Linked DNA regions of Neodiprion lecontei. The protein of the gene in region 2 interacts with the protein of the main gene of each other region in a pairwise test. Links are inferred from orthologs where the notes say so. Each region holds a gene or a part of one and is shown on either strand. Other genes may lie near its edges.

What was found. The genes of interacting proteins can lie anywhere in the genome.
Region 1: the proteins of protein BCCIP homolog (region 2) and 60S ribosomal protein L23 interact in binary tests that used the Homo sapiens proteins (3 or more experiments, as listed by UniProt). The link is inferred for Neodiprion lecontei from reciprocal best matches to the Homo sapiens genes BCCIP and RPL23.

The regions. Positions count from the first base shown.
Region 1 is NC_060264.1:31,957,541-31,961,159, reverse strand, and holds 60S ribosomal protein L23, read right to left. Parts: upstream 1,904-3,619; 5' UTR 1,828-1,903; coding exon 1,815-1,827; intron 1,524-1,814; coding exon 1,440-1,523; intron 1,171-1,439; coding exon 1,042-1,170; intron 775-1,041; coding exon 578-774; 3' UTR 527-577; downstream 1-526. Other genes in the region: metaxin-2, read left to right, coding at 2,683-2,728, 3,077-3,619.
Region 2 is NC_060260.1:13,309,022-13,316,764, reverse strand, and holds the start of protein BCCIP homolog, read right to left. Parts: upstream 6,032-7,743; 5' UTR 5,987-6,031; intron 4,781-5,986; 5' UTR 4,703-4,780; coding exon 4,574-4,702; intron 1,202-4,573; coding exon 935-1,201; intron 653-934; coding exon 107-652; 3' UTR 1-106. UniProt on the Homo sapiens protein: During interphase, required for microtubule organizing and anchoring activities. During mitosis, required for the organization and stabilization of the spindle pole.

The DNA.
Region 1 (3,619 bases), on a different chromosome or scaffold from region 2:
AATAGGAGAATTTACCACAAAGCTTTTTTTAACTATGAGACAGAAGTGGGCAACTCCTGGCGTTCCCAGTGCGATCCCATTTTTTAGTGTAGTTCGCGATTTCGGCGATTCTACAATTGTTTTTGTTGGGATCGAACCGATCACGCAGGTGGTTCTCGTCATTCGACTGTTCCCCCGTAATAGAGTCGTTGTCAGGATAAAGTGCGCCAATTGCCCACTCCTGCTATAGGGGAAGTTTACGATAGATCAACACTAAGTGTAATTCTGAATTCATGCCAATGATGTATTTTCAAAAAATACTTACTTGTACGGCAGTTCAAGATCTTGAGTAAGGATGGTGAAATACTAGATCTCATGAATTTTAATGGAAAAATCTTGCAATGTAGTCATGTTCTAACGACAAACTTGTTTTCAGAAAAATAGACTAAATCTTAATCTAAACAGAATGCACCTGATAGCATGACAATCATTTTACTATTCGTGACATTATACAAACGTATTAAACAGTAAATAAGTAAAGTACCGATGACGAGTCCAAATTGGTATTTATTGAGTCAACGGTATACAAGGTGTTATTTTAGGCGATGCTGCTGGCATTGGAGGCGATTCTTGGCCACAAATCGGCGCACTCTTTAGCTACTGGGCCAGTGATGGCTGAGCCTTTCATTTCACCTTTATTATTCACAATAACACCTGCGTTGTCTTCGAAGTATATGAATACCCCATCCTTCCTCCGGAAAGGCTTACGCTGGCGGATCACCACGGCAAGCATAACTGCAATAAAAAAAAATTATTTTTTACTCCATCATAAAGTCAAATTTTCACGCAAATCTTTTAAGCCAATAGTATCCATGTATACAAAGACACAGCACGACTAAACGTAAATGAAAAGTGTTCACCTAACCTAAAACAGACACTTGTAGAACTTGGAACATGCGTTGAATTGGGCAACAGCATGGCTTTGCAGTCGACTTTCATGATAACGAAAACAACTGAACATTGTCAGATGAACATATTAAGCCAGTATCGAGTTAAACGAACCTTTCTTTCTGAGTTCGGGCTTTCCCTTCTTAACAGTGGCAACAATCATGTCACCGGACCCTGCAGCAGGCAGTCTGTTGAGACGTCCCTTCACTCCTTGTACTGCGATTACATACAAATTCTTGGCCCCTTAAAAAGATATATCGATTAGATTAAACAAGAGACACAACAGATAGTGGCATGAGCGCAGCAAATTTTAATATGTGCATCTCATCGTGTACGCGCAGAGATCAATGTGAATGGTGAATCACGAACAGGATGAACTGCGTATAATTTCATCAAGTACGAACATATCGGAAAAAGAAGAATGTGAAGAATGAAGAATGATGATATGGACGAATGGTTGGAATAAGGACGTGGACACGCATAGTATTGACTTACGATTTGGACTAACTCACCCGTGTTGTCAGCACAATTGATAACTGCGCCAACAGGTAGACCCAGAGATATCCTGAATTTAGCTCCAGCGGAACCACCACGTCCTTAAACAGAAATATTAAAGTTGATAAACATCCATGAGGATCGCGTGGTCTCCGTTTGTTAGGTTATTCCCGTGTTCCGGAGCAAGACGTACGTCGCGTCGTATCGTGTTGTCGACAGGCGGCAAGTATTTATCACGCATCTTATTTCATCGTAAGGCACAAATAACGTTAAGTATACGTTTCGCATGACGCACACGTATCTTCCACGTTCGCTAAACACTCAAACGCGGTACGTCTCGCTCGGAAACGGCCGATTATTGCGGATTTATTTCGGCCCAAACTCGGGCTCACCTCGTTTCGACATCTTGCTTCGTTTGAAAGAGGAAGTCTGGGGCGCTCGATCTGTACTGCAGACCCCTGATCCAACTCTTGACGCGCATCATTTACACGCAGCTGAATACCAGCTGGTCAAAATTCGTACAAACGCGATGTCCCCAACACTCGTGGATCAGAAGATTGTGGATACATAAGGGGCTGAAAAATCATTGAGGTTTATTCTATCACCTTTACTTGATAATTAGAGGACTGGGTTAAGCTTATTGAAAATTTTCGTGGAATGATTCTCGAGTACTTAATTTGATCCGCAGCGGTCGTTCTGACATATCTAATTTTTGAAATAGCGCTGTGATCGATTAGTGTGCGGTGTGCGTATATAAATTTTCTCTAAATCGACTGTTTTCAGAATAAATCCTCAATTCGCAACAATTCATAAAGATGTTTTCAAAAGTTTACGAAACACTGGTTAGGAAAACAAAGGACCCTCTGCTCGGGGAGCATGTTATACAGACATTTGTCTCCGCCGTGGATTGCGAAGAGGTTATCGAACGTCAGCTTGGTCCTATCCCGACTTTTCGATTACAGAACATATTTTTCATTATAGCAGGATGACTCTCTAGCATCGACGCAGGGGTGCATGGCTATCTGCGGTGAAAAATATCTGGATATTCACGGTAATTTTAGTAAACAAACTGCATTATCACCTTCCGGTAGAACTTCAAAAATGCCCACATCTAACGAATACTTCGACCGCTCGATTCAGTAACTCGATAGCTCGACCTGCCGCAGACTCACGTCTCTTCTGCAGTTTGAAGCCCGCTTTTACTTAGTTGACTAAATTAATAAACGGAGTAAGTTCATCGCCGTCAAAATAATTGTCATAATGCCAGACGTTCTACTCTCAGATACGATAGCGATGGAGTTAGGAGGTAAATTTCAGACACTAATCGTAACCTCTTGAGATCTTACGCGTGCTTCGACTCTACCCTAACCTAACCTAACTTGACTCAGGTTATCTTTCAGAACAACGTTGCCACTTTATCGTGGCAGAATCTGTATTTAACACGACGAACCTTAACTCTTGTAAAATATGACGTATATGTAATCAAACCTAGTCAAACTTTACTCAAATCCAGTATATCAATTCCCCGTTGCAACCTAACCTAGCCTTGGTAACAGAAACTGACCTAACCGTAACCTAACATAACCTTATGTAATCCTGTTTGAACCCCTCAGAAATTATCTATGAATTTTGCTCTCCGACTATTTACTCTTAGCTCAAGAGCCTTGGCCGCAGCCGATAAAATTGTATCAGCCATATGAGGTCGAGCAAATTCTGCTCCCTGACAATGCAAACTGCCTGGCGGTCCAAGCGTACTTAAAAATGTGCGGTCTGGAGTTCCAAATTGAACCGAGAAGCAATGCGGAGTACATGTCTCCCTCAGGAAGAGTCCCTTTTATTCAATGTGGGGCTTTCCTTGTATCGGAGTTCGACCCGATCGTGTCTTTCATCAGCAGCAAGGGTTCTAGTCTTTCTGGAGAGCTTGGGGCAACTGATAAGGCTGACATGCGAGCCTACATATCGCTTGTTAATAATGTGCTAGTTAATGCTGAACAGTATGTTTGCTGGGTAGATCAGGCCACCTTGATTTCAGTCACCAAGCCCAGGCACGGCAGTGTCTATCCTTGGCCTCTCAATCATCTTCTTAACTGGCAAAAGCAAAATCAGATTACAAAGAAACTGAATGTCTTGGGCTGGTACAATAAAAGTCTTGACGAGGTATTCGGTGAGGTCAAAAACTGCTGCACAGCACTTGCCG
Region 2 (7,743 bases):
TAATTCCAAGCAAACGTTTTTTCCATGTCTCGAATACGAATTGCAGCCAGAAGGCTCGTTAAGGAGTACTTTTCGTCCATTAGAGTTAAAAACTTTCGGTCCAGTCTTAACTACTAGCTCCCGCAACGTGAAGTTTGATTTTGTCAATGATACTCTGGAGTTTTGAAGATTCAAAAAGTAAAACTTTTCGATATGGCTTCATTTCGTTATCACTTTCAGTCCAGGTCCCTTCTAATCCACTATCGGATTCATTTTCAACGGAAAATTCAAAGCTGCAGTCTGCTTCTTCGGCGAATATCTCCTCCTCACGATTACTCCAGAGTATGTCAACATGAGGTGCGTTATTCTTGTTCTTCGTTTGTGGATCCTTTTTAGGATTCTGGATTTCGTACACCTTACATATTAGTATGAAGTAGGAAAATTTGAATGGCATTTTCTTTTTTGCTGCCCTATCAATTTCCGAAACCAAATTTTCAAACAGCGGCACTGATATCTGTGCGGGAATATTGATGAATCTTTCATTGATCAACAGACCCAATGGTGCTGCGTCGTTTTCCAGTACATTTCTAATCAGGGCGTTGGTAGCGTCGGTTGCATGCTCTTCTGCAAGCTGCTTTAGTAAATCTCTCAATTGTTTCACGCATGGCTGGTTCTGAAAACAATTTCAAAATTAATCTATATCTGCCCATACAGAATCTGCACAGATCATTTAGAAAATCATTTTTTGTTTTAGAATTCTTGTGAGCTTTCACAAATTATAATTTTTTCAATTTCCTATGATTTGATTTTTTTTCTTCCTTCACGTGCGTAGCAAAGAAAACAATATGCTGTACACGTAATTCAGGGAATAGTTATTATGTCAATAGATTTAAGTCTGTCGAGGCTGAAAAGTTAATTATATTTGAATGCGTGAAGAAATATAATCCAGTCATACATCTACCTGTCTGTCGGATATGTTGACGACTGTAGTGATTCCGAAAACGTTGTTTGGGTCCTCGTTCTCGTCCTCGTCTGAATCCTCCGTGTCATTGGATGATTGCTTAACGACTGATCCCACGTAATTTTGAGAAATAATTAAGTCTGTGAGCCCGCTGAGGTCGAGGTGGGCTTTGAGGAATAATTGCTGCAGCAGTATTTTAATGCCATTGAAGTCAGGATCTTGCGGATTACGTCCCTCAAAATCTACCTGGATTTCCATTCCCTAAAAGTGGAATATTTTTCGTGATTTTTGGTCAAATTTATAATGATATGATAACCATCGTACATTTAGACTCATTACGGCAAATATGTTACATCTAGTCATAAAAACATGTTTCCTTATTTAATAGCACAGAGCTGTACGTTCCTTGTACAGAGAGTTCAAATTCAAACTTTATCGAATACTGAAATTCTAATCGCAGATACATTGATTTCCAACACTGTTGATTGATAAACAATAACTGTAACCTATTCATTAATGGTTGACGAAGTAGGGGTGGAAATTAATACAAAATAACACGATTCTTCCGTTACTATACAATTCTTATAAAATGTACATAATGATGCAAGCCTCTCTGTTACATAGTGATGAATAAGAATTCTCGACCTCGTATATAATCTATTATAGAATCTTGGTGATCGGTCAATTAAGTAAACGTATTTTTAGTTAACGTTTCGACCCGGTTATGGGCCCTCCTCAGAACGATTTATTTATTTAACTGTCAAGAACAACAAAAAATTTTTTTTAAATAATAATACTAGAAGTACAATCAGACATTAAATATTGTAGATGTAATACTCTTAGGGCTATCATATATTATTGGTTAGTAAGAACATTTTGATTAATTGAAAAAAGAATGGCTTTAAGTGTTATTTACCTTTTTTTATAAGTAAGTGGACTAAGATGTAGTCGAATTCACAATTTACAATTAGTGGAGACAATGTTCTTTGAGTGACGGTAGTCAATGTCAATCTTTTAGTTATTTTACATGTAGGAGTTAATAGTTGGAAGTCATTAATTAAAAAGATTAAAGAACTATGTTTCTTCACAGTCAGTATGTCATTGTGTTAAAAGGTTTTTAAAGAAAGTCTTTTTAGCAGTAAAATTAATTTGCAAGTGTCCAAGAAGTGGAGGTAGGCTCTTTATGACTATGTTCCACATGTCTAACCAAAAATTATTGTTGGTTGAACCGATTGGGTCAACAGGTGAATAACGACTGATGGGAGAAACAAATATGATCCAGAGTGAAGGTGAACCTAATATAAACAATTATACAGAAAAACAAACAATATTTTGTGAAAAAAATTTGTTTGTATCTAGTTAAGGTTAAACAATATTTTTTGTGTGGGCGGAGATTAGAGGTTTGTAAATATTACTTAAATGTTCAACATCTTGTCTAAGATTAACGGAATGGGTGCGACCTACAATGTTGCACATTTCTAGTAATAGTCTTTTATAATGATTGTGTTCTTCACAAAGGATGTTTGTATTGTCGTAGTTAAAAGTATGTTGTTTATTGATACTATGTTTTGTTAGAGCCGTGTGACGTTCTTCAATCTCATGTACATTGCGTTGATGTTCTTTGATTCTGGTGTTAAGGTGGCGGCCAGTTTGTCCTATATAAACTTGGTTGCAATCATTGCAAGGTATTTTATACACAACATTGGATCGTTTGCCAATGGGGATCTTATCTTTTCCCGCATCAAAAACTAATTGTAAATCTTTTGAATTTTTTCCAACAAACTTGACATTATGTTTGGCAAATAGGCGGTTCAGTGACTCAAAGAGACCAGATACATATGGGATGGGGATATATGTAGTAGCAGGTCTATTGTTATCGTCTGCGGGAGCAGAGTCAATATTATTATAAGGATAATCATTCCATCTTAGTATATTGTATATGAGCGACAGGTTTTTTTCCTGGAACTCTGTACTAGAAAGTTTGATGGCTCGGTCAACTAGGTTAATGATGGTGCCTATTTTGTAGGACATTGGGTGGTGAGAATTAAAATTCAGATATCTTTGAGACCAGGTTTTTTTGTGGAACCAATCTGTTTTGATATTACTGTTGTTGTGTATCAGCAATACATCTAAGAAATTGATGGCGTTATTTTCTTCTGTTTCGATAGTAAATTGTAATCGTGGATGATATCGGTTAAAAGTATTAAGAGTGTGATCTATTTTTTCTTTAGGAACAGCAGTAAGAATATCATCAACATATCGAAAATAGAACGGTAAATCAAAATCAAGATTGTTAATGCAAGACGTTTCCAAGTCTTCCATGACAAGGTCTGACAAGATTGGGGAGAGAGGAGATCCCATGGGCAACCCGAATTGTTGTGCATACGTATCGTTGTTAAATTTGAATATTGCAGAATCAAAACATATTTTTAAAGCTTTATCTAGTTCAATAAGAGGAATTGGGATCTTATTTTCAAGAGAAGCCCAACGGTTGTTTACTACGCGCAATGCAAGATCTATCGGAACGTTGGTAAAAAGTGATATTACATCTAGCGATATTAAAGTATTGTTGTCTGGGATAATCAATGTTTTTATTGTGTCAACTAAGGAAAAGCTATCTTTAACACTAGAGGTGGGAGGTGTGATATTAGTGGTGAGCCATGAATTAATTGTCTTGGCTATTACATCTACAATATTTAATGTCTGATTGTACTTCTAGTATTATTATTTAAAAAAAATTTTTTGTTGTTCTTGACAGTTAAATAAATAAATCGTTCTGAGGAGGGCCCATATCCGGGTCGAAACGTTAACTAAAAATACGTTTACTTAATTGACCGATCACCAAGATTCTATAATAGTCTGTTACATAGTAATACATGATAGCTTTCGATCCAGGTGATCGCTGTTGATCGCTAATTTATTTAATATGCCTATCAGACAATCCCAAGAAATCTGGGTTTTACAGATATCATTGGAAGTTATATTAGGATTTAACTCTAGGTTTGGTTGGAAATAATCCACTACATACCGGAGTGCGCAAAAAAGTATGAATGTGATCGAATTTTTTATCAGTTAGTTCATTTGTTTTCTGAAAAATTGTAATCGCCAAAGGGTGAAACTTGTCTCAAACCGTTCAAATTGCCAATTCTACTTTGAAAATGACATTTTCCAGTAAAATGAATTTCATAGGACCATTTTAATTATACAGTTATTACAAATACATAATTATTGAATGGTTCATTTTCATTTTTTAAACTCGCATTAAAGGTCTTAAAACGAGTGAAAATTCTGAGTTCACATTTATTACAAATAAAATTCAACCGTGAGCGCCTGGGTACCGGCAACCGTCAATACGTACATGTGTTGCAGAGAATGGGATGCGCGCAACTCGCAAGTTATACAAAGTAGCAAACTGTAAACTGCAATATGATCATTTAATTGAATCAGTGTAAACGGTTGGTTGAGTAGATTCTAAATTTCGAACAGAGCAGATGACCAGTCGTCGCCTGTTTCAACTTTTCGTCATTTATTGAAAATTCTTGACAAGTGATGTGGCAACCGACCACGTGCTTCGTGGAGGTTAGATCACTTCGTTTGCTCAATAACGAGTAAAAAATGTGCAATCTCGCTAACCTGCTCAGCCTCCGATGCGTCCTCATTTTCGGAATCACTCTGATCATCCGACGAACTGTGTTCTTCCCCATTGTGGCCAATATTCTCGTTCCTCGGCTGGATCTCACGTTTTTTTGTTGGCGCAGCCATAGCGTAGTCCTTGCGTATCGCTGTACCGTGGCGACGGATGCGGCGCTTGCGCTTCACGCTTCTCGGCCCGCAATTCACCTGCGAATCGATGTGGTCGATATCAGTGTTACCAACCTATCAGACAATTACTTTTTTCAATGGCGCCAAAACAATTCTTTAGATTTCTTATTTAGATGGCATCACAATAATTTTTCAGATGTCTCAATGGCGCCACAATAATTCTTCATATTTCTCATTTTCAACAGTGATGTTTGACGGGATTGAACCTGAATAAATATAGGAATATATAATATATTTAATTTTTTTGCATTATAACATGGACATTTTTCCTAGAAATATATCCTACAATCGGAATTTCAAGTATAAAGATATTAACAACCTTTACTTATATAATGTGTTCTTATTTTTAATACTTAAATATTGCAGAAGCTACTAATTGTCGCATGTTTTTTCAGGAACCTCACGATTGGTTGATTTGTAGTCTGTTGTTTCGATTTCAGCGGCCATATTTAGAGATTTCGTCATCAATCTTGAGATTTCGTCAGATTCCGGCCTAAATGACAATATTTCTTAACAAGAAAACAACTTTACTTTTTTTTTTTTTGAACATTCTCTAATTTCTTTGATTTTAAAGAAATTTTTTTAGGACTGACAACGCTGGTCGATGTCTCTGACCTGTAAATATGTCAAGTTTCAGTCGCGTCGCGGCAATTTTAAGCTCCTTTGGAACGTTATCCAAAATTCAAAAAAAGTATTTGATTGTCCGTTAAAAACGAATACATGTAAGAATAACGCTGACCCCATTCAAATTGAGCGAACTTGCTGGCTTAAGCACGGAGTTATTTTTTATTCGTAAATAAAATGGTGCGAATGGTATGGTATAAATTATAACACAAGAATCGTAACGATCAATGCAACATGTTTTCGCTATAAAACAGGCATGCAGATGTGACTCGATGCATATATTTTTGTGGCTTGAACAGAGAGGTAATGAGGCATTATAACCAAACACCTTATATTATTGTTATTATTATCATGATTACTTTTTGGAATTCAAAGGCAGCCATGCGCGTGAAGCTTACATACATAAACGCAGGCGCGTGATTCAGCCTTGGTGTGTATTCGAGTGTATATTTATACCGAGGTATATGATTTGTGCTATCTGAAACCGTCCATACGAAGGCATTGTTACGTATTTTTTATGAGAAATGGAACCAGGCTTTCCTTTGAACAAGACGACATAGTGATACGTATGCATGCTACGGGCGAAATTTTAGACTGTACCGACGGATATATTGTGACTCTGCATGCAGAAGCTCTATGCGCGTTTGGTGGTCGCTCGGGAAACTCAAGCGTGCGTTCCTATTGTTGCCGCTGGTGCTGGGTGGAATTCGATTAAAAGCACGCTACTCGCGCATGACTGAAGGAAATTCTATTTTCTAGAATTTCCCGGAGTCTGTAAGGCTGCTCCACAGCGTAGCACGCACGGGTCTAAGAGCAGTGTCGCATTATAGGTTATAAAATATGTATTTTTAAAAATTGATATATACATAATATATTTATATTGCCGATTTCGTCGATCTCTCTGCGTAATATGTTTATATAATATAATATATATTATATGTTTGTAATGTTAAATAATAAAATTGAAGCATCCGAGTGAGGACATACACATACCTATAATAATCTCGTATTGGGAAGTGATAATACCAAGTTTGACACTCGTGAAATTCTGAGAGTGTGCAGGCGGGGGGTGAGATGGCTGTCTGGTGTCTACATGTTCGATGGATGTTTAAATAAATTTCTGTGCTACACGATATCATGCTCATACATACATAGAGAGAAAGAGATTGGATGTTTTAAATTCTGGCTGTTGGGTGTTTAGCGATACATTATATCTTTAGAAATAGCTGTCTCACCTGCCTTGGACTGTTTTTTTCAGTTATTTATTTATTGCTTCTACGTTTCCATTAGGCCTCTTCTCCTCTGTCTACCTTTCCAAACGTATTTTTTCAGTAATACGTCAATTTGTATTACATTTTTTATGATATCTGTATGATATGTATATTAACGAAGAATATATAAGTTATCATTATTTACAATGCTTAAAACCTTCCAATAAGTGTCTGTGTGAACCTATACATGGTTTTAGATCAATCAACCACTTCATAAACCGCTCTTAATTGCATCTCGTTCGTTAATCATATTAATGGAAATTACTCACTTGCCTGTCAAATCGAAGGAATTTCAGAAATATTCTCGACACCCGGATACCTTCCGAAATAAAAAATTTTCTTTGCAAATAAAAATTGTGCGAACCGATGAGCTTATAAACGGGAATTTGATTGTGTTGTGAAATTAAACTACGAATGAGCCTGTTAGAAACAGATTGAAGTTTCTTCATAAAACTGTCAAGGCATACGTTATATATATATGTAATATAACTAATGTGTGAAATCATTCATCTACATAGCTAACGCCGCAGTATTTTCCAGTATATCGAAACTAAAGAATGTAGTATACCTATGTTACCACGAGTCGCAGTTCACCGCGGGTGGTGGTCTTTATGGATTTTTCCACACCACAATTGAATGAAATTAACCCATTTGCCGACATCGTAGGGGCGTGCTAGACTGTGGCGTTCTAGCGGGTGAGCAACTGGTTGATTTATGACCGCTTTGCGTAGTGAGAGACGAGTAGTCTGCAGCGGGGGAACTAAATTAGATTCTGCTGAGTGTACAAATGACTTTATTCAAATTTCGAATGCAATTTAGGGTGAGAATGACAATTAGGCTGCATCTTGCCTGTGCCTTTCCTTTGCTGTAACTGGCCTATGGAATTAGATTTATACGCAGGGGTCTTTACCTAAGTTCCTGTAATTTTATTCCTTTATTTTTCGAATCCTTGGAAAAAAAATTTATCCAAGCAAAATGTTACCGAGCAAAGTGACAGACTGGAGATGATGCAATGAATAAATATTTTTCAAATGCTCAAAAAATTCACAAATAGATGGATATGCAAATGCGTAGAGTGAACTTTCA